Astyanax mexicanus: one gene and its partner. The protein of the gene in region 1 purifies or fractionates together with the protein of each later gene. This does not show direct contact. Links are inferred from orthologs where the notes say so. Each region holds a gene or a part of one and is shown in the gene's direction. Other genes may lie near its edges. The genes, in order: nsfb and scfd1.

Region 1 (16,081 bases):
CTTGCAAGTGTGTGTGTGATGACGCAGCCAGCTCTTCCGGAGACACGTCACGACGTTGCGGCATGCGTGTTGTGACATCACCACGTTTGTAGTATAATTATATTTGATAGATATGTTAACCACTAATACAGGTTTAGCGTTTAATGGATAAAAAATATTGCAATTTAAATCACAATAGCAATATTCTGTGGAAAAAACACATTTAGGTAATCCTGCAGCTCCAGTTGTGTGTCTGACCAGCGTGAAATTCACACTAGGAAAGTGCACAAAAATTCTAAACATCTAAACAGTGCAATTTAACTTTAATTTAACAGTTAATAGCTGTAGTAATTATTATCTGGGTAATAAATCAGGTTAAACTGTACCTGAACAGCCGTTTAGCTCAAACATGAGGAGTACAGTTGATAGTCGGGTTGAAACAAGGTTGAATTACTTATAGTGAAACCCAGACTGCCGATTCCAGGAGGATCAGAGATCTGTACCGTAAAAAGACTAGTGTGAAAAAAGAAAAGTCTTTCTCTTCCTCACGTTTCTTCCTTCTCTCCCTCTTTTTTTTAGGATGGTACGAGGGGATCCGTCTGTCTGATGGTCAGAAGGGATGGTTTCCTGTGGCTAACGTTGTGGAGATCACCAATGAACACGTGCGACGGCGTAACCTGCGAGAGCGCTACCGGGTCATGCGGGCGGCCAGCGCCGTGACCCACAAGACACGGACCCTCCCATAACCCATAACCCACAACCCATACTGATACCAGTACCAGTACTGAACTTTCCATTACAGGACTGCAGGAGGACTCTGTGGACTCGTACTCAGAACATTGTGCCTTTACTGAGCTGTAAAAGTACTAGAGATTCGTCTTTTTTACAAAGAATAACTGTTTCGAGCCTTCAGAACTGAACTGCAGGGTCAGAAAAACAGATATTTTAGTTTTAAGCAAAAAAACAAAGAAAAAAAAAACAAAGAAAAGTGAAAGAACTGGAGCACACCACTGCAGTATGATCTGACCAACTGTATATTTAGGAAGTTGGCTTTATGTGTTTTCACAAGTTTAAAGAGGAAAAGTCCTGCTGCCATATAGAGCTTGAAAGCTGACCTATATATATGAATCTGCATTTTGTGTATTTTACTTAAATTCACCTGATTTTCACAAACTATAAATATTTAACAGCCTTCAAATTCATTCCAATTTTCAGATTTAAGAAATTCAGGTCTGTAAATGTAATCTCTTTAATTAAAAATGTAAAATATGAATTTGTTCCACAGACAAAACATAGATAAATATCTGTAGATAACATAGATTTGGATTTTAAAATGTATATTTTCTTCTCAGCAGCAAATTTTACCACTTCATAAATTTAAAACCCAACAAAAAGCATTGTTAGGGTTAAAATTCATTCCAAGGATGGCCCACTTGAATCCTGGCTCATGCTGCTTTTGCATCAGCAGCTGGAGTCTGAGAGAGGATGGTTGGGCTTGCTCTCTCTGGGTGGGTATGGTATCATTTGATTACAAATAAATTAAGTAAATAAATTATGGCATTAATTATTTAAAGTTTATTTGATTTAAGTATACAAAATGCAGATTTAAATACGTACTAGTGCATCTTAAAAAAATGTAATATCATTGAAAAGTTACTTTATTTTAGTAATTCAGTACAAAATGTGAAACTCATATATTATATAGATGTACTACACACAGAGTGATCTATTTTAATCGTTTATTTATTTTATTAATGATGATTATGGCAAACAGTCAATGAAAACCAGTTCAAATCAGTGTCTCAGAAAATTAGAATATTAAATAAGACCAATTGGTACTTTGGCAGTGTGGGCAGTGTGCCAAATCCTGCTAGAAAATGAAATCTGCATCTCCATCTGTCAGCAGATCAGATGTGGTTTGGAGAGACATGTCATCTGCTGGTGTTGGTCCACTGTGTTCAGTCTTACAGCACTTCATGCTTTTATAGAGATGCGGCTTTCATTTTTCAGCAGGACTTGGCACATTGCTAAAAGTACCAACTGGTCTTATATAATATTCTAATTTTTTTGAGACACTGATTTTTGGGTTTTCATTGGCTGTGAGCCATAATCATCAACAATAAAATAAATAAACACTTAAAATAGATCACTCTGTGTTTAATACATCTATATAATATATGAGTTTCACATTTTCAACTGAATTACTGAAATAAAGCAACTTTTCAATGATATTCAAATTTTTTGAGATGCATATATATATATATATATATATATATATATATATATATATATATATGTCAGCTTTTAAACACCATACTGCCTCTTCTCATGTGTTCCCTTTATTGTATGTATGGTATGTGTGGTGTGTGTGTGTGTGTGTGTGTGTACAGGTATGTGTGTGAATGTGTTTGTAAGTCTGTATATATGTGTTTCTGTTTGTATTATTTTGTCTAAACATTACATCGAATTGTCTGGATTGAAGTCTTTGTTCACAGCAGCTTATTAAACATGATTAAATTCAGTCTAAGCTGTAATAAAGTGGGCAATCAACATTTTACCCAACATACCTTTCTGACCTGTGTGGTGACTCTCGCATGTTTGCCATATTTGTCATTTGGCACGTTAAAGGACCAGACTGGAACTGGTTTTGCAGTTCACATGCTGAGATGACGTGCTGAGCTCTTTTTAAAGCTCTCTAGTAGCAGTTTAAAACAAGAAAACCATCATAAAGGGTTTATAAAGGAGTTTATTAATGCTATTTATTAGGTTATACCTACTAAAAAATCATTAAATCCATTAATTTACACTTTTATACTTCAGGTCTGTCTGGAAATTTCCATTAATTTGTCTTTTCCATCAGTCAGCATTGAACCTAGCATATATGAATATTACCCTATTTGTTAATATGTTTAATCATTAATTATACATTAGGGGTAACCCTCTTTTTCAATGCAGCCGAGCATGTACAACTTAAAGCGCTGAAAAGATACTGAAAACTAAATTTAAATTAACATAAAATTAAGTATTCAATCAGGTGAGCTAACATAAGGAACTTTATAGACAAAACTATAAAAGATAAATGATAAAAGCATTAGAAAAACAAGCAAACACTATAAGATTCAATTAAGAGGTAATATAATAATTCAAAATAAAAGCACAAGTGGACAGGCTAAAATGTGAAGCAATAAAATCAAGAAATAAATAATTAGTATAATAAAATATAGAAATAAATGAATAAAGTAGAGGGCTAAAAAATGAAAAAATAGCTAAAATAACATCAAGATTAAAAAGAAAGTAAGTGACAGAAATAAAATAAAAGGTAAAAGAGAAGATAGAATAAGTAAAAGGACAAAATAAATAAAATAAAAAGGTAAAGGGCCAAAAATAAAACAGGGAATAAAATAAATAAAATAAACAAAAAGGCTAAAAGATATAACAGACAATTTGATAAATAAAAAGACAACTGCCAATAATAATTAAACTACCATTATTAATTATTAATCTGTAATTAAATTAATCTGTAATAATCTGATAATTGTTTGTACATTCACACATTAAATGACTACATTGACATTCTACTGCATATAAGTTACCTTCATATTTTGAGCAATAGGTTATGTAATGTTTTTAAGCATTTCTAACTCATTAACTAACGATAATAATCTCTTAAAAACATTAGGATAGTCTTATTTTAAGGGATGCCAACTCGCCCTTAAATAAAGCCACCAGGCTGCGTTTTTCGAAAACATTTTAGTGTTCAGATCAGCTTTACTGGAAGAGTGAGTATTCAGTGTGAAGCTCGCTTGACCTTTTAAGAATAATGTGTTCGAGGAGCCCAGCCCTACAGTTGAGCAAGACAAAGAATTGTCTTAGAGTTTTATATACAACCCAAAATCAAAAAACATTGGGATAGCATGGAAAAAAAGATGCATTTTGTAAATATTCTACATCGGAAACAGATTAGGAAGATTGCTAACACCCTAAAACTGAGATATAGCATGGTGACCAAGGTCATAAAAGAGGTTTTCCAAAATGGATTCCACTCATAACCTTAAGTTATGTCAACATGTTCAGTGTAATATCCAGTGGTTGGCTTTTTAAAACATAGACGTATGAGTGCTGCCAGTATTGCTGCAGAGATTGAAAAAGTGGAAGGTCAGCGTGCACTGTTCAGCCCTCACGCCCCACACTGAAGCATCAACTCTGTTAGCATGGAACTGACCTAGAAGCAAGCCTCATCTGTAGCTGATGCACAAAAAAGCCTGCAACCAGTTTGTTGAAAACAAGCAGTTCAAGAGCATGGATTATCGTGTTTTAACGAGACCAAGATTAACTTGTCTGGCTCAGATGGGGTCAAGCATGTGTGGCAGCATTATATGCCATTTCCCTGAATGGGTGCTTTTTTTCTGTTCCCAGGGAATAAATGTGTAAAATGTATAAATGTGCACAAAATATTTGAAAATACCTTTTATTATTAAGCATAGACGTCTTGTATAATGACCTGATTGCAAAAGTAAGATATGTAAATAAAAACATTAATAAAAAACTACTTAGAACACTGAAATAATAGCATTTGTTACCTGTCCCCCACTCTCTAACTATACACTTTACCATGAAAGACAATTATTAAATTCCTTCACATATGTAATTGTTGTATTGTTGTGTGATTTCAAATCCCATATATGCTTTAAAAATATACACATTTCATAATAAATCCATAATATTTAAGTTAAATAATACACATTTTAGTTGTGTCCCTGGGTTTCACTCAGTCCTGTTACTGTAACACATTACACCATCTGAAACATCTGGAACATTCTACAACAGGAAATCACATCTACAACAGGAAGTGACATCATCTGGTTCTTCTGAAGATCATGGGAAGACCAAAATTAAGTTTCCTCATTAGTTTTTCTGTATATTTGATCTTAATGTAACAATGACTAAGGAGCTCAATCTCAACACTCAGTCCTGTTACTTAAATTATTTTTTACATCTAATTGCTTTATTTTTAAAATACGAATTTTGGGGAAAATCACTAGAATGTGCTCAGTGTCCTCATGCCGTTAGCATAGCCACCTTTTAGCTATTTTTCATGATTTGCTAATTCTATGTTAAAAACTAATTCCTGTTACTTTTATCTATTATTTCTATTACTCAAAACATAAAAAGTAACAGGAATGGGTGTCAGTAACAGGAGTGAGTTTCCAGTAACAGGAATGAGTGCCAGTAACAGGAATTCGTGATTTGTTGTCAAAAATATCAATTATTTGAACATGCAGTCAAATATTTCTTTAAAATAAAGACTATATTGAGAGAAAACTAAAGGAATCAATGAACTTGCTTTTAAACATGCCTTTTAAATGTGAAATGAGTTTTGTAACCATATTTGGATTAGAAACCTTGTAAAATTTTAGGTAAAGCTGCCTGTGATTGAGTAGTACATGTTTTGAATAGTTAAATACAGGTGTTGTCAGATTCAGGGTTAAAAATATATACAAAAAACAAGTTTAATATGGAATTATAATAGAGTTACAACATGCAAATGGCTCCCATTCAAATAAATGGAATGGCCCTTATACAAACTGTACACTCACCACTTTGAATTAAATCAAAGTTTCATTTCTATAGTTTTGTCCCTTGAAAAAGTATATATAAAATATATGCAGAAATGTGAGGAGGGCACTCACGTTTATTGGATACAGTACTGTGTGAGTTTGTGTGCTTCTGATAACTGGTATTTATTTGCACCTTTTAAAAGAGTCTTTGTTTTTGTATTGAGAAATGAAGGTTATTAGTAAGAGGGATTTGTGATTAAATCCCTGCTGGTGTTCATTACTCTGATGTACACATTACACAGTGATCAGTCAGTCTGATCCTCCTCATCCCTAATCTTAAAGAGATTTAACCAAACACACTGTTTCTGCAGACGGTCTGAGACTAAATTTACACTCCACGGGGCAGTTTATCAGACAGGGATTAAACCTGCTGTCTTTTAGAATGGTGGGTTTATGGGGGATAGTTTACAGTAGTCTATGACTGGGATTATCCCTGTCTGGGAAACTATACAACTAGCAAACTATCAATATTAGTAAATCAGTGTTGGATAATTGCTGTCTGTATGCTAAACACAATTATCTGTTGTAACATTATGTAAAGAATTTGCGAATGAAGTTGTTATATTACGAGATTAAATTCTTTATATTTCAAGAATAAAGTTGTAATATTAAAAGAATAAAGTCTTTATATTTGAAGAATAAAGTCTTTATATTACAAGAATAAAGTTGTAATATTACGAAAATAAATATATTACAAGATTATATATATTATATTACAAGAATGAAGTCTTTATATTACAAGAATAAAGTTGTAATATTAAAAGAATAAAGTATTTATATTACAAGAATAAAGTTGTAATATTACAAGAATAGTCTTTATTTTACAAGAATAAAGTTGTAATATTAAAAGAATAAAGTATTTATATTACAAGAATAAAGTTGTAATATTACAAGAATAGTCTTTATTTTACAAGAATAAAGTATTTATATTACAAGAATAAAGTTGTAATATTACAAGAATAGTCTTTATATTACAAGAATAAAGTTGCAATATTACGAGGATAAAGTTGTAATATTATGAGAATAAAGTTCTAATATTACGAGAATAAAGTCATATATATACTTTTTTTTTGAGTGGCCCTAAAATGCCTTCATACACTCTAAGAAATATAAGTACAGATTTGTACTTAAAAGAGTACAAAGCTTGTCGCTGGGGCTGTACCTTATATTGAGGCACAAAAAAGTACCTTTCAGTGAAAGTCCTTTTTTGTACCCATGGTTTTTGTGGCAGTAAAGATTATAAAGATTATAAACATTATCATCAACTGAATATGGCTCAAAAACTTGATGATACAAAATTGTCTGGCTTTCAAATAAAAAATGTGCAATGTAAATATATATTGTTTATTAGTACAGTGATGCAGAATACTGAATGTACCTTTTGGCTGCAGGTTAAATGGTACAAATTTGTACTTATTGCTGTTAGAAATGACTTTGTACTTCAGAGGGAACAAATCTGACCCCGTAAAGACCAATATTGTACCTTTGAGTGTACAATTATAAAGAGTGTACCTTCGAGTACAAAAAAGTACTCATATCGTACCTCTGTTTTTTAGAGTGTAGTGAAGAGCTACATGCTAAATTAATTAATGCTAACGTTAAGTTTAGTGTTTTTAATCACTGTCATTTAATTTTAATGTAATTTTAAACTAAACAGGAGTGAACATTAAGTTACACTGTGGGTCACTCTGATTTGCTGGTTAAAATATAATGTAATAAGCAGAGTTTTTCAGGTGGAGTTTAATCCTGATGGAGTATAAACTGTGATGAGGATGTTAAACTGAATTATTGATGTATTTATAAACGAGCAGTAGCCTTAACCGAAAATCATATGAAAACGGTTTATAGGTTTTATAGAAAAGTGTTTCTTCTGCTTTAGTCTGTAGAATATACAGCATTTCAACACCATTATTTTGCAGCAAATTTAAAGATTCTATATGTTTTAAGTGTGAAAAGAGAATATAATAATAATATAATATTTTGTTTATGAAATGTTTAAAAACAATTAAGATGTGAAAACGGTTCTGATTATTTTTTCTGAATAAAAACTTAACTGAACGTTGATTTTACATTAAATAAATATTAAAATACTAAACAGACTCTTATTTTGGTAGGTGCGTCTTTTATTTTGATAATCCAGTCTTCCGGTTTGCTGGCAGCATGAGCGTCATCCAGCGGTGCGTGTGGTTGTGGTTGTGTGTAGTGTGTGTGTGTGTGTGTGTGTGTGTATGTGTGTGTGTGTGTGTGTGTGTGTGAGTAAACAGAGAGCATATACAGAGGAGAATACCTACTCTATACGTTAATAATACAGAGTTAGTCGGACACCAGAGGGCGCTGTCGAGTTCAGAATGAATGGGTTTTATGGAGCAACTGAGCAAAATGTATTCATAAATGTTTATTAAATTGAATATATATATTTATATATACTGTAATTTATACATCTTTACTGCATAAAACCTATTTATCGTTAAAATATATAAATATACAGGTAAGTTTTCTTTGTTGCTTTAGTGAAATCTTTTATTCTACTTTATTTTTAAATCATAGGTTTATTGGGTTTTACAATATTTGCAAAATACAACAATTTACAGTGTCTGAGGAAACAACGCTGCCTAGAAATCCAGCTGGTCACTCCAAGAAAACACCCTATTCTGGTCTAGAGCTAGTTATGTATGTACATAATTGTAAGTATCTCCATTTATTACTCTTAAGTTAGACATATAGATACTTGAGTTTAAATTACTTCAGTAGAGTTTGAAGTATTATTGTTTATTGTTTAACTAATCTTCTTATTGTGAGTATCTGCGTACCAAAGTACACAGACACACATTATCCTCGCCTATAGCACAGTTAAACCTGAGAGCACGCTGCAGGCAGAGGCAGAAATAACCACAATAAAAGTGTTTTTTTTTAAAGGTAAGGAAATGTTTCTAAAAATGTAAAATGTATAAAGGACTGGTATGTTTCACTACTTTAAAGAAAAACATTTTATTAATAACTATTACTATTAATAGAAAAAAATGATATAACGTTAGGGTTTAGTGGCATTTTCATTTGATTCTTTAAATTCTAAGATAAGATAAGATAAGATAAGATAATCCTTTATTAATCCCACAATGGGGACATTTGCAGTGTTACAGCAGTACGGAGGAAAGGACAGAGAATCAGGTCAGGAAAAAATATAAACAAATAATGATAAATCTATTTATACAAAAAAAAAAAAACTATTGCAGGAAAATATATAAAAGATACTTAAAAAATTATATATAGTAAACAAAATATATATATATATATATATATATATATATATATTTATTTATATACATTTAGTGCATAGAGATATGATTATGGTAGGGTGGACCAGTATTATTGCACAAAGAGTAGCAATGAATAAATATCAAATAAATAGTAGATAAAAAAAAAGGTGAGAAAAATATTGATGATAAGGGATTACAGTACTTGTAGTGAGATGGATACAAAATTATTACAAAATATACAAAATTATTTAAAACTTTTAATAACTAGATATTTTGATAACTTTATTATTCTTTCTAAAATTAAATGAATATACTGGATAATTAATTAGTTAATATTTTTAATTTGTGTTTTTGTTGTTTAGCTCCATTCACTCCCATTCATTTTGGTCTCCCTCTCCAGCGGCCCCTGTCGGTGGGCGGTGATGTAGCGTTATAATATCAGTGGGCCGGCTCTCAGTAACCCGGCTGTGGTTTGGGCGCTGGGGATCGGTAAAGGCGCAGTCATGGCTGCCTGGGTGAGTAAATTTATTATTTATCGGAGTTTATTTAGTGTTTCTGCTGTACGGAACTGTGTGGGGGGGAACAGCGGGGTGAGGAGCTGCTGTTTAGCGGCCTGGCCGGGGGATCAGCTCGGCTCGGTGCAGGGGAATGATCCGGAAGGAGAGCGGAGCGGGTCTTATGACTGTCTGTGTGCTCAGCTGATTATTAATATGAATAAACTCTTAATTCTGCTTTAAAAAGCGTTAAAATCACCGTTTACTGCAGTTATAGCAAACACACTGATTACTGCAGCTCCAGTTTTACACCACAGAGTTTTAGGGCCATTAAAAAAGAATAAAACAGTTGAGTTTACGATTAAAGTGGTAATATTGCAATATTAAAGTCGTATTGTTGCAAGATTATGGGCGTAATATTACGAGATCATAGGCGAGATATTGTGTAAATAAAGTTGTAATATTGCGAGTATAAAGTTGTAATATCATAAGATTAATTTGTAATATTACAAGAAAAAGTCGTTACATTACAAAAATAAAGTCGTAATATTACGAGATTGAAGTCATAATAGTACACAATTAAGATCGTATTGCAAGATTATAGGCATAATATTGTGAGATTATAGTCGTAATATTTCAAGATTAAAGTTGTAATATTGCAAGATTAAAATCATAATATTGCGAGATTAAAGTCGTAATTTTACAAGAATACAGTAAAAACATTATGAGAATAAAGTCGCATTATCGGAGATTAAATTTGCAATATTGCGAGATTAAAGTCACAATATTACAAGAGATAAAAGTCATAATATTGTGAGATTAAAGTCGTAATATTGTGAGGTTGTGAAAGTTATAATATTACGAAAGTAAAGTTGTAATATTACAAGATTTTAGTCCTGATATAATGAGATTAAAGTCATAATAAAAATTATAAATCAAATAAATTAATATTTTTAGATTAGACTTCATTCATTATAGATTTCTCATGAATGAGAGCCAATTGAAATGAATGTGCTGGCATGTGAACATTGTTTAAAAACATTGATTTTAAAAATAAAATAATTGGATAAAATATTGTCCAAACTAAACTTGTTATAATGACAGACCTAATTTGAGGAGTTAGATAAGATTTTTAATCTAGGGAATGGTTGAATTCGGATTATTTATTTATTTATTAACTGAAGTAATATTTTAAATCTCTAAACTATTATTTAGTAGAAAAGCTCAAGCATGTTGTATCTATTATTAGCATTTCAGTGTATATAACTATAAATTCTGACAGTTTATGTACGTTCTGAAGATATAAATGGAATGAAACTGAGTGACCTGAGTTTTACTTCTTCACTGAAAGAAGAGAAAGTAAAAGAGGATAAACTGCTTTAACCAGCTATGATCAGTTCCTCTACTGCAGAACAGCGTATGTAAATTAGTAAAACAGGAAAAAGATTAAAGTTGAAACAGTAAATCTAGATTTGTTTTTTTGTTGCTGTCACTTACGAATGATTAAATCAGCATTTAAAAACATGCTTCCTCTTCTAAGTGCTGGGGATGTTGAGAATGTTGGTCAGGTGCCTGACACTTAACACGCAGTTTATGCACTCATTGACCTTTGGACATTTTTTTTTGGACATTGTGTTGCTAAAATTATGATTTATTAATCTTTTTAAGATATTGTAGGGATTTTAAATTCTGTGATGGTCAATGCAGGAAAGTACAACAGCAGTGTTATCAGAATCCCCCTCAAAGAGGCACTCTCGCTAGTTGCTGACAGTAGCATACAACCAGACTGGAACATGTTCAGCAGTATCCATGCACACACCAGCTGTTCACTGATCATGGAAACCACACACCAAAACCTCAATGTATTCATTATATTTGCTAATATTGGATTTACTGTGTTTGTCCTTACCTATCTTAAGTTTATTTAACTGAAATAAGTTTTATATGGTTATATTTGTAGCCACGCTCTGTCTAAATGCAGTTTTGTGTACTGTGAAAGAGACGAGGCCCATCATGTTTTGTCATCTTGGTCAAATACGCTTGGTTTAATTGTAGAATGCAGTTTATGTGCAATTTGAAATTTCTTTTTAGGTTGGTTGTTGTGGGATAGTGGCGGTGTTTTTTTTTTTTGCATATGTTCAAATTGAAACATTATTTTAGTGATATAAAGTGTGGGTTAAAGTGGCAGTCTGTATTATTTAGTTTCTAAACTGAAAGCAGAAGCATTTCTGAGTGGAGAAGAATATGGATAAAATATAGTGTTTAATGGTACCAGTGTGCTGAAACCACCATCCCTGCTAAACCTAACTATATATTAATTCTAAAAACTGGGGTGTCGGGTCACTTTTCGTGGGAGTTTATCTTCTTCAGGCCAAGTCACGCGTCTTTACGTACTTACGTCACACGTACAGCCTCTAAAAGAGATTCCAGCTCAGTTTTACTGAACGCGAGAGGCTGGTGGAGCAATGGAGACTTCAGAAGAGGAAACTCAGAGCTCAGTAGCTCATTCACTCATAGTAAAACCACTCATAGTCTCTCTCTCTGACTGAACGTAACCTGGAATCGGATTCACCTGCCTGGTTTAAAATTATTCTCTTTTGCGTCTTGTATTCTCCAGTAAAATTCCATCATAATCTGAACTCTGTGTATAATTTATAAGGTCTAATTTTGTTTTCTTGTTTTTGTTTTCGTTCCCATCCAGATGACCATGCAAGCGGCGCGATGTCCGACAGATGACCTGTCGCTGACTAACTGTGTGGTAGCGAATGAGAGGGATCTAAAGTCTGGCCAGTGAGTGTTTTATATATATATATATATTCATGATTATTAAATATATACACACAGTTTTTTTTCACCAGATGTTATAAACAATACTATAAAGAAAGTGTTTCCCAACCTCGTGGGTCAGGGTTACTATATTACGTTAGGTACTTCTACCTCTACACACAATTATAATACTGTGGGATTCCCCAAGGATCGATTTTTGGGCCTTTATTGTTTAATCTTAATGTGCTTCAATTACCTTTTGTCATTAGGTAATATAAAAGAAGTTATTATCAATACGCAGATGATACAGATGTAGTGTTTACTAATTTTATACCATGAAATAAATAAAGAAAAGACTGACGCTCTAGTTATCAGAAGTGAGACACAAAGAAATGATGTTCAGATTGTTTTAAATCACATGCATTTAAAGGCCAAGCAATGTGTTTAGTTGTTTAAAATTTAGTTTTAAATCACACGTCATGGCTTACATCGCTATGGTTCGAGACTTTATTTCTCCTATAGATACTGAGAAGCTTGTTCATGCATTTATTACTTTGAAATTAGATTATTGCAATGCTATTTAATCTATTGCACATCTTCAGCAAGTCCAGAATATATATGTATTAAATATATTAATACTGTAGCTCAAAGGATAATTTTAATGCAAACTGAACTGAATGTATTTGTTAACTGGAGGAAAAAGGGAATTGTGATAAACTAATAAGCAGCTATATAAATACTGTAATGCCTCTAATGGCTTCAAGAATAAATACTTAATAAATACTTAAATACTTAAACATTTTGAGTATTTTAGGTTTGTTTATAGGGTTGATGGACCTATTTAAAATATATATATATTTTTAAATAAGCTGTGTTAAAGTTGTTGGCCTATCTCTTTTTAAAGTCTATTGTTCACATACTTCAGCTGTTTTTCTGATAATAAAGTCTGATTTTATTACTCCTAACAGTACAGTTACTCACAAACCTATATAAAAGCCCAGACATGCAAAAAAAAAAAAAAAAACCCTATTAAAAATAATAATAATAATAAAAAATACTGTGATATACAGTGAATCCTTCAGAATCTTGAAAAACGCTGTGATTTATATTTTTGTCATACTGCCCAGCACTAATATATTGCATTGTGTTTAAAGAATGAACTGTAACTGATGTAGTATTTTATATTTTCTAGACATGTTATGATCAGGACCACGCCCACTCATAAGTACGTGTTCACTGTAAAGACGCATCAGAGCGTGGTGTCTGGAACCATTGCCTTCAGCCTGCCTCAGGTATCATAACATTTTACAAATCTGACTTCTGTCTGCTTTATTACTAAATATTACTACACATTCCTGTCTGTGCTTAATTGCTTTTTTTTATTACCCTATTTCACACTATAAGGAGCACCGGATTATAAGGCTCATTATGCGACACTAGTAAGGAACAGGGGTGTCACCATGTTCTCCTTCTAATTCAGCTGTAAAGCTGAATTATTTACTGTAATTATTAAAAAAAAGATCTTTAAAAGTTAAACAAGCGCTGGACGTTAATCTACATAGATTTCTCTCCTAAAAACTGTTTATTTGGGTGATTAAAGCTTTTCTGTTATTTTACAGTAAGTTTAGATTTACAGATTTAGCATTAGCAGCAAGCTGTTAGTTAACTAGTTAGCGCTAGTAAATGCTGCCCGATAGCACTACACTGAGTAACCCTGGTAAGCCAGGGTAGCTAGCGGTTTGTCCGACGTAGCTTGCTTTAACATAGTAAATGTGCTGACTACAGTCTGATATACTCCCCTCTAAATGAAGAGCTAGCATTTAGTGTGGTTAGCGGCTAATGCTAATACTGCTCCAGCAGTGCTAGCCGGGGGTTAGGATCAGGCTACAGGCTTATAATACTCACCTCTGAACGGTGTAAGAGCTAGAGCTTAGTGTGTATAGCGGCTAATGCTAATACTGCTCCAGCAGTGCTGGCCAGGATTAGCAGCAGGCTATAGTCCGATGATACTCGCCTCTGAAAGGTGAAAGTGCTAGCGCTTAGCAAGGTTAGTGGCTAATGCTAATACTGCTCCAACAGTGCTAGCCGGATTAGGATCAGGCTACAGGCTGATAATACTGATCTCTGAACGGTGTCAAAGCTAGTGCTTAGCAAGATAAGCGGCTAATGCTAATAATACTGCTCCATCCTTAGTGCTGGAGAAACTAGAAACACTAAAAACTCACCCTTATAGCTCTGTACTTCAGCGAAGTGGCTTTACTGCTCCTTAATACCTGACTGGTAGAATTCATACATAAGGAGCACCAGATTATAAGGAGCTCTGATGATTTTTGGTAAAATTAAAGGATTTTAAGTGCACTTTATAGTGCGAAAAATACGGTACTACTTTATATTATTCCCTGCTTTATCTCTACTAAAATTATAATTATTATTATTAAACTGACTAAATCTAAGCTCTGGTTATTCTGTCTTTCTCTGTAACCCATCTGTTCTGTGTGCTTATTGGGTGCAGAATTAGACTAATATAGAAAGTGCTTTTTTATGGCTTTATTTCTGTATGTTTTTCTCTTCCCTTTCTGCTTTTTTTTTCTACGCTGCATGCTTCTGTTCTCTCACTGCCTCTCACTGTCTCTCCTTCACCTGTAAACCCGGCAGCAGCCAGGCCTCTCAGGTACTGCAGCTACTTCCTCACACTGGCTCAGATTTACATCAAACAAAGGTGTAAAAGTATCTCAATTCATTACTCTGTAGGTAGAAGTATAGATACTAGAGTTTAATAAAATATTTCTGTAGAAGTTGAAAAAGTATCAACTCAAGCTTTTTACTATTTAAGTAAAAGTGTAAAAGTACTGGTTTCAAAGTAATCTAAGTATAAAAGTAAAAATAATGTAGGAAAAATAAAGCTATTAAGAACAAAAGCTTAGGCCTATGGTGCACTACTAAATATATACTTGACACCTCTGACAGCAAGATGCTGCACTATTGGCTAAATAATCTGATAAATATCCCTTTATAATGAATGCTAAAATAACATTTGATGTATAATAGAGCCATTTGTTAAGAGACGGTTATATATTGGTGTTTGTGTTTATATTTAAATGAATATGTTTTATGTATTTCAAATATTTGTGGTTTAGACCCGTGATTTTAAACTTCAGTCCCCACATGGACCCACATCTTTGCATGATATTGCGTGATATATATGATGTGATCTATTGTGATACATGTATCATAATATACAGGTGCATCTAAAAAAATTAATATCATTGAGAAGTAACTTTATTTCATTAATAAAGGAAATTTGAGTATTATATAGATCAATAGGTACTTTTGGCAGTGTGGGCAGTGTGCCAAGTCCTGCTGGAAAATGAAATGCATGCTTATAGCATGAAGTGCTGTAAGATTTTGTGGGAAAACAAAACTGCACTGACTTTAGACTTGATAATAAAACACAGTGGATCAACACCAGCAGATGACATGTCTCTACAATCCAGTTCCGGGTCCCCAGGATTTGAGTTTAATTACACTAGTTTAGGTTGTGATATGTAGTAATTAAGATTCATGTGTAACTCTTTTATTTTCTGTCTCAGAGGAAATGGGCTGGCCTCGCTCTCAACCAAGATGTGCAAGGTAAGAACCGTTCGACTGTACCGTCAGTTTTATTTGCAGTGCAAAAAACAGGTTTTGCAAAGTGAAGCCATATTAAATCTAGATGTTTTTAAATGTCTAATGTTTCTTATTTTGAAATTGCTGCATGAACATTTTGCTGCAGAACATTAATTCTCATTTTTTGGATTGTTTTGGTTGTATGTAACTGTATCTCTAGATTTTAAGCCTGAATATGTTAAATTTACTTAAATAATTTGAGGAAATAATTTAATAGCCTTTAATAATTTAATAGAAATTAAAGTTATGTTTACTGAAAACCTTAGTAATTTACCATAAGTTATTATGCCTAAGTTTTAAG
Region 2 (15,245 bases), on another chromosome or scaffold:
GGTGCGTTGCCTGTAAAAAGGTTGGTGCTTCGGTAGGATGCTTTATTAAAAGCTGCAGACAGATGGTCCACATGCCTTGTGGAGTTGAGCAGCAGTTTATCTTCCAGTTCACTGACTCTTTCCCGTAAGTATATTGTTGGTACATTCAGACCAAACTGCACTTTCCTCTTTTTCTGATAAAATCTGTGACATAATGTAGTCATCACTTGAAAATGTGAGATCAGACATGGTACACGTCAATTATGCTGCCTCTGTAAAACTCTCTTTTTTACAAGCTACATGATTAATAGAACATAGCTTGGTGTCATGAATTGTCCCACCTGTTCTGACCTCCATCTAAGTACTGGTAAAATCTGTGCTTTTCCAAATACACCAGTATCTGGCATAACCACCTGTTAAGCTAAGTAAATAAAACTGTAATTCTTAGAAAAACATTTTCTTTTAAAGTCTAATGAGTGCTGAATGTTAATCTACACAGATTTCTCTCCTGCAAACTGTTTATTTGGGGGAGTAAAGCCCCTCAGTTTATTTACAGTAAGCTAAGATTTCCAGATTTCCAATAAGGCTGTGTGCAGCAGTATTAGCATTAGCAGATAACCACTAGTGCTAGCCACAGTAAGCACTAATAAATGCTGCCCGACAGAACTGCACTAAGAAACCCGGAGTGTTCCGGTAAGCCAGGGCGATATTAGCTAGCGGTTCGTCCCATGTTGCTTGTTTTAACACAGTAAACGTAGACTACAGTTCGATATGCTCACCTCTGAACGGCGAAAGAGCTAGCACAGTTAGTGGCTAATGCTGCTCCAGCAGTGCTAGTCAGGGTTAGCAGCAGGCTATTGCTTAGCGTGGTTGCTCCAGTCTCAGTGTTGGAGAAACTTTACTGAAACTCCTGTATAATGCTTTACTTCAGTGGAGTGGCTTCACTGCTCTTTACAACCTGACTGGTAAAACTCATACACGAGATGCAGCGGATTATGAGGTGCACTGGCGATTTTTTAAAAAAATTAAAGGGTTTTAGGTACACCTTAAAGCGCAGTTTATGTAAACATGCATGCTTAACTGAATGCAAAATGTTTTTTTTGCCAGGTCTTTCTGTAAAAAGCACAGACCCACCCAGACCTGCTCTTCAGTCCCCACTCTGCCTGTCTGCTGCTCCATCTGCTTGGAGCATATCGAGCCGGTTCTGTCCTACTCTGTGCTCAAGTGTCCTGCTTGTCATGGAAGTTGGTTTCATAGGAACTGTGTTCAGGTAACTCTATGAGAAGCTTGATTTGTAAAATACCTATTTACACACTGTATATTTACAGGTTATTCTGCTTAAGCAAAGTGTAGGAAATTGTAATTTTGATTTTATTTTTTTCTCCTCAGTATCAGGCACACAGTGCTGCAAAGTTTTTCTTTAAATGTACCCTCTGCAACAACAAGGACCAGTTCCAACAAGAAATGCTCAGAATGGGAATACACATACCAGAAAGGTAAGAAAAGTTATTTGAAAAAAAATAACTAAGTAATTTTTTTTTACTGAAACAGTTCTTTCATAAATATGACCTGATTTTAATCTTTCAGAGATGCATCATGGGAATTGGAGGATAATGCTTATGGGGAGCTGTTGGAAGTGTACCAGCATTGTGATGCTGTGAAATGTTCCTGTGAAAAAGGGCGAGGTTACAGTGCAGAGACAGGGTAAGTGTTTTTAACCAGGTTTTTTGATTCACATGAGTATCACCCTGTTAGCTGAAGGTGTCTTATTCATTTAGTTTATTTTAAAAAGATCAACATTTTGAGGTTAAATAAAAAATGTAAATATATTTACTTAAAAGCCAAGCTATAAAACATGTTACATGTTTATTTTAAGTATTTTTAGTCTCATCCAGATGTGAGTTTTAGCCCTAAGGACATTTTTATTGCAGATGTCTCATTTTAATAAATTAGCCTGATTAGAATTGGCGTAAGCCATGGAAATCTTGTTTTTGTTCTAGGAGATAAAATTGTATTAGGATATACATTAAGCTGTTCAAATTAGCCAATTTTTTTACTTATGTATAACTTTAATATTAATTTATATAAGTGTGCCATTACAAATCACTGAGCTCCCACAGCACCCTGCCCTATGGATCTCGTAAAGGAGAACTCCGGTGTTAAATTGATTTTTGATGTAGTTATACATGATAGAGTACCAACCTTTGTTACATAGCCCACCTTCATTCTCCCGCAGCTTTCCTAGATCCAGTAATTTTTTTTACAGTTTGTCCAAACATGCTTTAGAATGGATGATATGGGGCATATTTTGCCCCCTGCAGATAAATAGCTTTTTACACCGTTATCCAGGCTCAAAGTAGATCCACACCTCATTGGTAGAATCCGGAAAGCTCTCACATTTAAAACGAGGCATTAATAACTTTAAAACTGCGCAAGAAGCTTATTAAAAACCTTGTTGAGTGAATGATATAAGCATTGCAAGGGGATTATATAAAAATCACTGTGTTCTTTGAACACCAAATCACAACACTCACCAAAAAACTCCTCTCTTGTAGTTTTTCTTTTTATATATATTAATTAATGAATATATTAAAAGTTTCAGGAATTGTAGGGCAGCACACTGACATCATTTATTTGAACATATTTGTAGATAAACTGATGTTTTTAAAGTTCTTCTGTTGATGTTATAGGGTTTTTGAGATTGTCAGATGCAAATTCTGTGGATCCAGAGGAACCCACCGAAAATGTTCCTCCCTCAAGAATTATGAGACCAGCTGGAGTTGTATTGACTGCAAAGGTGCAGCTGAAGGAACAGGTGAGCTCACACCATCACTTTTATAAAATATAAATTATATAAATTATAATATATAAACTGAAACAGTGATTTTGGCAATGATCCTCTTTGCTTTGACCAGCAACATCATCGTATGAATATAAACATTTAACTAAACTTTTCTGTGCCTGTGACAGTGTCCACGTTGCCAACCCATGTCAAATCACCCCTGGCAAAGAGGCAAGAAAAGAAGAGATTAATTAAAAGGTGTCTTTCAAGCCTCCACTCGTCACTCATCTCCAAAAGGTACATTTGCAACAAGTTTGGCCAAACATCTTGTGTTTGAATGAAATTTCATTTTTAAATGATGGCTTAATTTTTTTTAAGCTCGCTTCTGTTTTTATTTATTTAATTTTTTTTTCTCTTTTAAATGTAACTGCTGTTATGATCTGTAATTAAAGTGCATTGCACATGGCAATCAGTGCATTTTCCTTGTGTTTTGGACAGGAGTATAATTTACAAATTTGTTGTTGAATTTCATTAATTAAATAATCTCACAACAAAGAGATAATTAGCAGCGTGTTGAAGGGTTCTTACACAGAGATTTGTTTGTTTAATTCTAGGCGCTGTGTGGATGCAGGTCCTGCAGAGATTTTAATGGATCTTGCCACTCAGTTAATTCCACATCAGACCACAGAAGTGCTGCTAAAAAGCGACCAAGTACTTGAAGCTGCCCTGCAGGCTGTGCGGCAGAGTGACTTTAACCCCTGTCACAGACTGTCTGTCAGATTCATCAGAAGCAGAGAAAGTCATAAGGTGGTGAACCAGCACCGGTTCCTCAGCCTCCTCCTGCAGGACCTACAGAACTCATGTGTTTTTGAAGGTCCTGAGGGGTCTAAAAACTTGGCCCTGAATTCACAAGGTGAGTTATTATTAGAAGTAATAGTAATGATGGCAGTAGAAATAGTAGTAGTAGTAGTAGTAATATTAGTAATAGTGCTGGTAGTAGGAGAGATGGTGGTGGTAATTGTGTAAATAATGGTAGTGGTAGTAGTAGAAATAGTAGTAGTAATAGTAACAATAGTAGTAGTAGTAATAATAATGGTAACAATAGTAGTAGTAGTGGTGATGGGGGTAATTGTGATAGTAGTAGAAATAGTTGTAGTAGTGGTGGTAGTAGAAATAGTAGTAGTAGTAGTAATGGTAGTGGTTGTAGTAATAGTGGTAATAGGAGAGGTGGTGGTGGTAATTATGTAAGTAATAGTAGTGGTAGTAGGATAAATAGTAGTTGTAGTAGTAGTGGTAATAGTAACAATGGTGGTGGTTATAGTAGTTGTATTAGTAATAGTAACAATGGTAGTGATGGCAGTAATAGTGGTGGAAATAGTTGTAGTGATAATAATGGTAGTACAGGTGGTGGTAATTATGTAAGTAATAGTAGTGGTAGTAGGAGAAATAATAGTAGTGGTGGTATTAGTAACAGTGGTGGTGGTCAGGTCATAGTAGTTGTAGTAGTAATAGTAACAATGGCAGTGATAGTAGTAATAGTGGTGGAAATAGTAGGAGTAATAATAATGGTAGTGGTAGTAGAGGTGGTGGTAATTATGGTAGTAATAGTAGTAGAAGTAGTAGTGGTGGTGGTAGTAAAAATAGTAACGGTGGTGGTGGTAGTAGTAGTACTAGTAAAAGTAATGATAGTAACAATGGTAGTGGTAGTAGGAATAGTGGTGGAAATAGAAGTTGTAATAATGGTAGTGGTAGTAGTAGTAGTAGTAATAATGGTGGTGTGGTAGTAGTAGTGGTAGTGTAGGTAGTAATAGTAAGTGTGGTAGTGGAGGTAGTAATAGTAATTGTTGTGGTAGTAGTGTCAGTAGTACTGAAGTATTAAACAACAGTTTTGCTAATGCTAATTGTGTTTTATTTGCAGCACTGAGGGATGATCTTTACTTTGAGATTGGAAGTTTGCTTTCCCTCACTCTTGTTCATGGAGCTTCTCCTGTGGCCTTCTTCTCTCCTGCACTCTACCACACCCTGTTCCATTACCCACCTGATTACAAACTCACCGTCCAAGACCTGGGAGACACCACCATAACACCCAAAGTCACGATGGTGAGTCACACTGTTTATATGTGCACATGTACAAAGCTCTGTTATAGAGTTTGTGGTGCTGTTGCTGCTGCTATGTTGATGTTCTGATACCCAGCCTTAAATCTGTTTCAGATAGCAGAATCCAGCTCGTTATCAGAGCTGAAGAAAGCAATGCGGGCTGCTTCTGAGTACTTACAAGTAGCAGGCTGCTGGCGGGAAGTCGAACAACTGGATGATAAAAACGCGCTGCTGGAGGACATTCTGAACTTTTACCTGATCGTAAGAATGGAGATGCCTCTTCAAAGGTTAGACCCTTAAATAGGAATTATTTATTGGCTTTTATGGAAGGTTTAAACTGTGGAATGTCAGTTGTTGTTGTATATTAACTAGTGATTTGATTGACTCTTTTTAGATTTCGTGAAGGCCTCAGGACATTAGGGGTTTTCGAGCGCATCCAGGCTTGTCCAGAGGGTTTTTACCCGCTTTTCTGTGACCCAGTGGAAAGGATGACAGCTGAAGCCATGTTTTCCCTTTTCACTTCGCAATTTTCAGAGAATGAGGAAAAGAAAGCAAGAGAAGAGACAACCCTGGGGTTTTGGAAGCAATACCTGCATGAATGTGAAGGTATGTATTTGTGTTTCCCCATTAGAGTTTGAATTATGTCTGTAAGATAAATCTTACTTTTATTATTATCAGGATTTTATTTTTATTTATTTTTTTATGTTAAAATCAACTAGAACTAGAATCAACTAAAATCAAAAAGAAAATATATATATATATATATATATAATCTCTAAGAACAATGAGTGAGGGAGTTTTTATTGTTTTATTAGTTGATTTTTATCAATTAATTGTTGCAGCTAATTTGTTTACCCTGCATGTGAACAAATAAAAATGTATTGTGTTTTTAAAAATCAATACATTGTTGCAAAATTAAATATTGCGATATTAGAATTATTAATAATACTTTTCTACACACCTAATAAGGTTCTCTCTCTCTCTCTTTCTCTCTCTCTCTCTCTCTCAAACTAAAATGTCTTCTCTTTTTGTTGCAGATGGACAGTGTGCAGCATCTCTAGAGGACATTCTTCTATTTGCCACCGCTACAGATGTGATCCCCGCCATCGGCTACAGCCCCGCACCCATGTTCTCATTCTTTACCCCCCTCGACCCCTCTTGTGCTTTTCCTCAAAGCCAGCCTGAAGCTAACCATCTCATTCTGCCTGTGCTGCCCTCCTACGAGCTGTTCAAAAAGCACCTGGAGTATGCTGTATGTGAGCTGTCTGTGATGCAGGTCCTTTAAAACCTCTGAAGTCTCCAGAACTTTTGGGTCAGAGATGAAATGCAGACTGTAATGGTGCTACTTGCTTACCTTTGGAATATATATCTCATCTGCCACAGCATCGTGGATGTTGGACTATCAGGAGTATATAGGCATTTGTCCTATAAAATCTCATGGTGGGAGAGCTACAGAAAAAAAATACCAAAAAATGAGCAGACTTTTGCATTATTTTCAGAACAGGTTATGAAACTTACATTTTACCTTTTTTTGTGCGAAAAAATAAAGTGTGTAACTTTTTGATTGTGATATTGGTGTGATTTAATGTGGTGTAAATAAAACAGAATGTTAGAGCTTTTGAGATTCAGAATACATATTTATATTTAAACCTCTTGCATCCTCTGTAAACATAATGTTTCTCCAATGTTACACTGTTTCTCTGTGTTCCTCTTTTCTTAGTTTTTGGTAAAAGGTGCTTTTTCATGCTTTTGTTGGTCTTGCCTGTTTATATAGTCTTGCGCAAAAGATTGGACTTGACAAGGGTGGATTTTTGGAGCATAATTTGTTCCAAATGATGAATAATTTTCCTTAAGCTGAAGATATTTTTACACTAGCATTGTACATTATGCATTTTTAAGATGTTTAAGTACATTTTATGTGAGTGCTTTTACATACTTTTACATATATATGTATACATGGAACTGTACTGCAGGAATTTTACTAAGCATTTTCATGAGTCATAAAATGATACCTTTGTAACTTCAGTTTTCCATTGTCATGAAGAATGAACCAGTAGATATCATCCACACTTATTTGTGTTATACATTGACTTCTATTGAAAGTTTAGATGTGTTTTTTTTTTTTTTTTTTTTTTGCTTATATTTACTAGTCTTTAAATACTAGGTATTGCATGTCAGTGGAGATATGTAACGTTATGCATTAAATGCAGTGCTCGTTTTCCCTCAGTTTATGTTGTTTCTGTGAAAGCTTGAGAAATATTCTGAGAATTTGTTGATATCCATAATCATTTTTTTCTGATTTGCAGGTCCGTCCTTCAGTCTTGATCTTCTGAAAAGCATGTAATGAGAAACTGTTGCCCATTATTTATTAAATACTTCCTTTCTGATGTTTGCATTGTCTTTAACTTCATAAGCTGATATTCTTTAAACATGACTATTAAAACATTATCATTGCACTAAATATAATTTTTCACAAAGAATACACTGTTATTTACATTAAAATTCAAATTACATTCTAAATATAGCCATTTTAAATGAAGTTTTATAGATTTATAGAAAGTGTGCAATAATTCTTTAAACAAAATTAGGCAGGAGCATAAATTCATCATGGAAAGTTATCAGGGGTGCCCAATTTTTTTCATACCACTGTAATATCTCAAAATAATGATTTGCTGTCTCAGAATAGTGAGATAGTATCTCAAAACGACTTACTATCTCAAACTAATGAGATATCTTAAAATAATGAGATGGTATGTCAAAATAGCAACTTAGTATTTCAAAATAACTTAGTATCTCAAAATAATGATTTGCTGTCTCAGAATAATAAGATAGTATCTCAAAGTAACGACTTAGTATTTCAAAATAACGACTTACTATCTTAAAATAACGAAATATTATATAAAAAACGACTTACTATCTTAAAACAATGAGAGAGTATTTCAAAATTACGACTTAGCATTTCAAAATAATTATATAGTACCTCATAAAAATGAATTAATATAAAAAATAAGAGCAGTTTACCTAATAAGAAAAAGGTGCACATGCTACTTAATACAGTCTATTGGTATGGTAATTGTAATGATGTTATGGTAACTGTAATTGTATTGGTAATTGTAATGGTAATTGTGGCTGCAGTATTGGTATTTACCTGTGTTATTTAGCTGCGGGTCTCGGTCTCCGCCGGCAGGTGGCGCCCCTTCTTCCTCCTCGCGCTGCCACGTCACCCGCCGACTCACCACCGCATAAATAGTAAAGATGGCGGCGTCCATCCGGGAGAAACAGACAGGTCTGTAAATGATCAGATTTTATATGTTTTCAGCTCTTTAGCTCAGTGAAATGTGTGTTAATGTGGACGGTGGTTTCTGAGGACCCGTCTCGCCTGTAGATAATTCATTAATTATTCGCGAATGTAGAGAGTTAGCCGGTTAACTGTGTTGTTAGCTCGGTTAGCTAGCTGTTAGTGTTTGTAACGCTGAACTGATTAGCCAGTCAGCGCCTTACTCAAGACAGGCTAACTAACCGGATACTTAATAAAACATTTATTTAACCTTCTGAATAAAACTTACAGACTGTCCTTTAACTTAGACTGTGCTTCCCATTTGCCTCACCTGCAGTAAACAACACAGCTAGAATAACTAACTACGTGGAACTACAGGTATCACTAGATAAACTAAATAAACAACCTTAAATGAATGGATAACGCTTAGGGTTGCCACCAATCTCTGACAGAAAACATAGACACTGTCATACTGATGGACTGTTTTTTTCCCCCATCAACATACAGTACCAATCAAAAGTGTGAACACACCTATAATTCAGTGTTTTTTCTTATTATTATTTTTAAATGTCCTGCATTGTAGATTAGCTAAAGCTAAAATAATCTAAACTATTAAGAAAGTATGTAGCTAGTAAGCAAAAAATATTTTATATTTTAGATTCTTCAAAGTAGCACCTCTTGTTTAGATGACAGCTTTGCACATGCTGGATTTTCTCAGTCAGTTTTATGAGGTAGAGTCTCCTGGAATTCAGGCTTTCAGTTAACAGCTGTGCTGAACTCATCAAGAGTTAATTACTTGAATTTCTTGTCTCTTAAAGTGTTTGAGAGCATCCGTTGTAAAGTTGTGAAGAGGTAGAGTTACAGGTATACAGTAAAATAGCTCTATTTGAGTAATGTTCTAATCCAGATTATGGCAAGAACTACTCAGATAAGAAAGGAAAACCTGCTTTAAAAAATTAAGGCCAGTCAGTCTGAAATATTTCAAAAACTTTGAAAGCTTCCTTACGTTCAGTTGTTAAGACAATCAAAACATTATGATGAAACTGGCTCTCATCAGGACCACCCCAGCAAAGGAAGACTCAGGGTTACTTCTCTTACACAGGATAAGTTCATCAGAGTTACCAGCCTTAGAAACCACAAGTTAAATGCTTCACAGAGTATTTTGGTTAGTTTAACACTTTTAAGTTACTGCATGATTCCTTATGTGTTCCTTCATAATCTGGATCCTTTACTATTCATTTACAATGTAGGAAAAAAAACATTGAATGAGAAAGTGTTTTCAAACTTTTAACTGGTACTGTCCATGCTTGGTGAAGTACAATTGTACATAGCATTGAATGTGTTATGGGGTTATGAGCCCTGAGAGAGAACAATTGGCCTTGCTCTCTCTGGGTGGGTACAGTAGATGGCTCTCTCTCTCCCCTTATCTCTCCCAGGGTGATGTTGATCAGCACAAGGCTGCGTCTGTGAGCTGATGTATCAGAACCGAGTCGCTGCGCTTCCACTGTGATGCTACTCGGTAATGCTGCATCAGCAGTTCAAAAAGAGACGGAGTCTGACTTCACATGTATCGGAGGAGGCATGTGCTAGTCTTCACACTACTGGTGTTGGGGCCATTATTAGTGATAGTCCTAATGAGTGTGTTGGGTAATTGGCTGTGTAAATTGTGGAGAAAATGGGATTTTTAATGGACATTAAGGATTAATGATTTATATTATTTACTTTTCAGCTGCCCTGAAGCGAATGCTAAATTTTAACGCCCCACCCCTGAAAAATACAGCAGCTGAACCAGTATGGAAGGTAGTATTTTTTCTTGTTTATCTATTAGTGTTTATTCAGTATTTTCCATATATTGATAATTGTGCCAGTAAGATATTGTTGCTCATTGGTTTGGTTTGTCTTTTCTTCTTCTCTAATTAGGTCCTTATTTACGATCGCTTTGGCCAAGATATCATCTCTCCCCTTCTGTCTGTGAAAGAGTTAAGAGACATGGGGATCACTCTTCACCTGTAAGGAGTTAATATACTAAAAGTGCAAGACACTTTATGATTTTAAATCTGTATGTATAAATGTATTTTTGCTTAAAATCACAGATTATTGCACTCAGACCGAGATCCCATTCCAGATGTCCCTGCCATTTACTTTGTAATGCCAACAGAGGAGAACATAGACAGGATATGTCAGGTAAGGGTTAAAGCTTAAGAATAAGATGAATTAGCTTATCAGAAAATACAATCCTGCTATTTTTATATAATTGTATCGTGCTTTATCTTGATGGTACATGCATCAAAAACATTGTTTTTCTCACTGCAATAACATTCAAACTTACAGGACCTGCGGAACCAACTTTATGAGTCCTACTACCTGAACTTTATCTCAGCAATCTCCAGAAGCAAACTGGAGGATATTGCAAGTTCTGCTCTTGCAGCAAATGCTGTGAACCAGGTGACCAAAGTAAGTCAAACTCATACTTAATTTTATATTTATTACTTTTTTCACCTAGTAACACAGTATTTTTTTCCAGCATAAAACATTTAAACTTTTTGTTTAAATGTTTGTTTGTGCCCTACTTTAGTGATCTATCGGTGAGCCGTCAACCAAGCAGCTTGATTGGCGTGAATTAAAATCATGATTCATTTTGTTAGTGCTGGAGTTTTTCCAATATTATTGTGAGGGCATAGTAATAATAGTATATTATGGTTTAGCAGATTAGATCATTTTGTACTGTATTACAATATCTGAGAGAGAAAGACAGAGGCAATACGACCGCTTACCCTGCACTTAAACCAAAAAGCGACAGGCAACCATTCATTTCCTATGACGGGGCTCGATTTTAGCGCAGCAACAGTGTGCGTTTCTGAGCACGCTCTCTGCTTGTGTGTTTGAGGCCACACTCCTTTAGGTTTTAGTTCCTCCTCTATTCCTATAGTCTTACCTGAACACTCCTCACTTCAAGACCACCACACCCATCGGTGTAGATATATTCACAAGCTCCATTGCTATTTAAACGGGGCAGGCGCAATGCGTGAAAATAGGCTGTTGGTGGGGTGTAACATAGCAATGATCATCGTGACGCACTTTGCGCAGGGTTTAAGATATTATTGTCATTATTGTCACTATTGTCATTGTGCTTATCACTAGTAATCATTTTCTTTTTAGGGGTGCTTTTCTTTGACTTTTTAGTGGTTTTGATTTTGGTATTTAATTATATATTTAATGTTTAAAGTATTTAACCAAACTATGCAAATGTTGTGCATTATCTCTCTTTCCATAGGTGTTTGATCAATATTTGAACTTCATCACACTAGAAGACGACATGTTTGTCCTCTGCAATCAAAACAAAGAACAGATATCTTATCATGGTGAGCTGTCTGCAAGCAAAAAAGAGAAGGAGTTGAAAATGTTTTTATAAAAAAGACACTATGGTCATTGTAGACTTTGGATGGCAGTGATTCAGTATGCTGGGCTGCTCAAGAAACTTGTGAACTTTGGAAGACTTTAATCACCTCTGGTGATTAATAAGTTTTTGGAGAATTTAAAAATACACATATGTTTTAATACCTGTGGTCAGAAACAGGCCACTGGCTTTAGGCCTAAAGGATGGTTAACCCAAATGTGAGAGACTTCTATCTATACGTTAGTGAGATGGCTGTTTTTTTTTTTTTTTTTTTTTTTTTTAAGTTGGTAGTAAGTCTATAGAAGCACTATTTAAACACGTCATCTAAATGGATATACTGCAGGTTTAATCTTTGCTCCTCTGAAAGCAACCTTCAGCTCTTTTCTTTATACTTAAGTTAGAATAACTAAGTGGTCCAGCAGGCTAAGCTCTGCCACTATGATCAGGAGATCGCCGGTTTGAATCCTGTTTATGCAGCTTGCCTACAGCTGCCAGAGCCCTGAGAGAGCACAATTGGCCTTGCTCTCTCTGGGTGGGTACAGTAGATGGCGCTCTCTCCCCACATCACTCCTAGGGTGATGTGGATCAGCACGAGGCGTCTGTGAGCTGATGTATCAGAACCAAGATACATTGCTATCGGAGGAGGCATGTGCTTGTCTTTACCCTCCTGGTGTTGGGGCATCACTAATGATAGGGGGGAGTCCTAATGGGTGGGTTGGGTAATTGGCTGTGTAAATTGGGAAGAAAATGGGATTAAAATTAGAAATGAATAAATAATAAATATGTTATAAGGATAAAAGTTATAATATATAGTTATAATGTTGTGAGATATAACTTTATCTTTCTTTCTTTATATCTGAGCAAATTTAAGAATGAGTGACTGACAAAGTTTCTACTTTTCTTTCAGCGATCAATAAGCCAGATATCATGGACACAGATATGGAGGCTATAATGGATACTATTGTGGACAGTCTGTTCTGCTTCTTTGTTACTCTCGGTAAGTTTTTATGTAGCATATAGACCCTGCTGTAGTTAGTATGTACAACTCTGGAAAAAAAATTAAGATACCACTTCAGTTTCTGAATCAGTTTCTCTGATTTTACTATTTTTAGGTTTATGTTTGTGTAAAATGAACATTGTTGTTTTATTCTATAAACTACAGACAACATTTCTCCCACATTCCAAATAAAAATATTGTCATTTAGAGCATTTACTTACAGAAAATGAGAAATGACTGAAATAATTAAAAAAGCAGAGCTTTCAGACCTCAAATAATGCAAAGAAAACAAGTTCATATTCATAAAGTTTTAAGTGTTCAGAAATCATTATGCATTTATCAGTGTTCCCCTCCTCCATCAGTCTTACACACTGCTTTTGGATAACTTTATGCTGCTTTACTCCTGGTGCAAAAATTCAAGCAGTTCAGTTTGGTGGTTTGATGGCTTGTGATCATCCACCTCCTCTTGATTATATTCCAAAAGTTTATAATTTGGTAAAATCGAGGAAAAACATCATTATTTAGTTGTCTCTTATTTTCCAGAGCTGTATATTCAAAAGAGTGTTTAAATTTAAATCAGTAGTATTCACTAGATGGCAGTATTTCCTTCTAATTGTTTGTTGGTGATTGAAATACTCTGTAATATAGCAATGCTGAAAATCATTATTACTATTGGAAGGTGTTAGATGGACAGTAAATTATATAGATTTTATATACATTCAAAAATCATTTATGACAGTACAAGAATGTTGATGAATTTCTTTTTTAAACATAGATAAATAAATAATAAATAAATTATTTGATCAAATTAAAATGTCCATTAATATTAGTAGATATTACATGAGATCTAAAAATAAAAAATATAAATGAAATCTAAAATGGTCTGTGGCCATGGAAAGGTTTATTACGTTTGTTTAATCTTGATTTATGTGTGTGGGTACTATAGGTCTGAACAAATGAGCCTCTTGTACGTTTTTTTTTTTTTTTTTTGCTTAGGTATAACGTGTACGTGTATATAATCGAATGTGTCCTTTATTTGGCAAGCGAGTAAGATTTTCTGTTTTTCTAGGTGCTGTCCCAATAATCCGATGTCCCAGAGGGAACGCAGCAGAAATGGTTGCTGTGGTAAGCTGCATGGCTCATCTGTCATGCCATTAAAGCCAGACTGAGTAATCATTGTTTGCTCTATACCCTGTGGAAAGACTTATAGAGACTTTATATAAAGAGTTTTATTTATCTTGGGTGTTTGCCTCAGTGTTTTTGGGTGTCCATTGTAATCAGTGTATTGTGTATTGTTGTAAATTCAGTATATTTTTTTATAATTTCAGAAACTTGACAAGAAACTGAGAGAGAATTTGCGAGATGCGCGCAACAGTCTGTTCACCGGAGATACCATGGGCGCTGGCCAGTTCAGGTGAGAAAGAGAGGGAGAGAGAGAGAGAGAGAGACACACACACACACACACACACACACACACACACACTCACACATGCACAGAGCATCTCTGACGAGATTAACATTCACATCAGCTTAAGTTATAAATCTTTGCTAAGTATTCATTCCATTACTTTTATGTACAAGAATTTAATATCCAGGACATAAGCCCCTAAGAAACTCCACAAGCCCTGCTAGCTTTTCTTTTTGCCCACGTACACCATGTGCTCACCGGAGCTTCAACTTAAATTACAAAGAAATCTTTTCCCTTGCTGGCCCTCCAGTCCGTCCTCCCTCAGAACCCAGCACTCGACCCTGGGAAGCTCAAAGAATGATCCAGAAGGAGAGATTGGTTTCATTGCTGGAGCTGAAAGCCCAGAGGGGGAGAGATTAATCATCTTGTTGTGTTTTTTTTTTCTCTTTTCTTTCGTTCTCTCCGTCTTTTGCCCTCTCTCTCTTTCTCTCACTTTTACCCACTCTCTCTTTTTCTCTCTCGCTCTCTCTCTCTCTCTCAGTTTCCAGAGGCCGCTATTTGTTCTTGCCGACCGCAACCTGGATCTTGCCACCCCACTCCATCACACATGGACCTACCAAGCCCTCATTCATGACGTCTTGGTAAGGAGACCTGAAAGAAACTCATAGTGACCATCATTAGACTCGGAGCGTTTGTTTATACTGACAGCGTTCCCGATTTCTCCAAGTGTTATTCCACTTTTTTTCCCTCTAAGAAATGGAGGAAACTTCCAAGTTGCAACATATGGAAAGATGAAATGATTACGGTTATCACATAGATGACAGAGAGGTTTCATGAAGGGTGGAATGTACACACTAAGTTGTTGGTGTGCGCCAATGAACATAAATAATTAGCTTTTTCCAGAATCCCTCTGAAAATGATTCTGTCCTAATATAGCAGGCCTCCTGTTAAAATTATTACACAGTTGGAATGCTTCTTTTGTCTTACTCTTTCGTCTTTATGATGACAATCATCATTATGAATGTCGGAGATGTTTTCCAAGACGTCAGGAGGCCAGGGCGAGATATACTGAGTATAATTTATATATAGGGTCATGACTTAAAAGCCAATGTGAAATTTAATGTGTTTCTCCACTGAAAAGAGGCTCTGCAAAGCCTACTACCCTACACCACCAAAAATGCACAGTGAAGTCAACATTTTAATACCATTATGACTGTTTAAGGCTGTCTTTTATTTTCCACTTTGTAGTTCTTGAATTACAAACTGTTGTTGTTCTTCATAACTTCATTATTCTGCTTTGACCTTTTT

The links.
Region 2: the proteins of nsfb (region 1) and scfd1 purify together in Homo sapiens (affinity purification with mass spectrometry; 3 studies listed by BioGRID and IntAct, with this or other methods). This does not show direct contact. The link is inferred for Astyanax mexicanus from reciprocal best matches to the Homo sapiens genes NSF and SCFD1.

What each region holds. Positions count from the first base shown.
Region 1 is NC_064422.1:43,945,715-43,961,795, forward strand, and holds the start of nsfb (N-ethylmaleimide-sensitive factor b), read left to right. Parts: upstream 1-9,262; 5' UTR 9,263-9,357; coding exon 9,358-9,369; intron 9,370-12,049; coding exon 12,050-12,138; intron 12,139-13,306; coding exon 13,307-13,406; intron 13,407-15,704; coding exon 15,705-15,744; intron 15,745-16,081. Other genes in the region: arhgef15b (rho guanine nucleotide exchange factor 15), read left to right, coding at 559-725.
Region 2 is NC_064421.1:45,534,543-45,549,787, reverse strand, and holds the start of scfd1 (sec1 family domain-containing protein 1), read left to right. Parts: upstream 1-8,038; 5' UTR 8,039-8,113; coding exon 8,114-8,144; intron 8,145-9,864; coding exon 9,865-9,935; intron 9,936-10,055; coding exon 10,056-10,144; intron 10,145-10,228; coding exon 10,229-10,319; intron 10,320-10,466; coding exon 10,467-10,589; intron 10,590-11,409; coding exon 11,410-11,497; intron 11,498-12,439; coding exon 12,440-12,529; intron 12,530-13,598; coding exon 13,599-13,654; intron 13,655-13,857; coding exon 13,858-13,943; intron 13,944-14,478; coding exon 14,479-14,578; intron 14,579-15,245. Other genes in the region: g2e3 (G2/M phase-specific E3 ubiquitin-protein ligase), read left to right, coding at 1-124, 1,087-1,249, 1,369-1,475, 1,567-1,683, 2,670-2,794, 2,950-3,058, 3,376-3,674, 4,680-4,861 and 3 more. UniProt on the Homo sapiens protein: Plays a role in SNARE-pin assembly and Golgi-to-ER retrograde transport via its interaction with COG4. Involved in vesicular transport between the endoplasmic reticulum and the Golgi.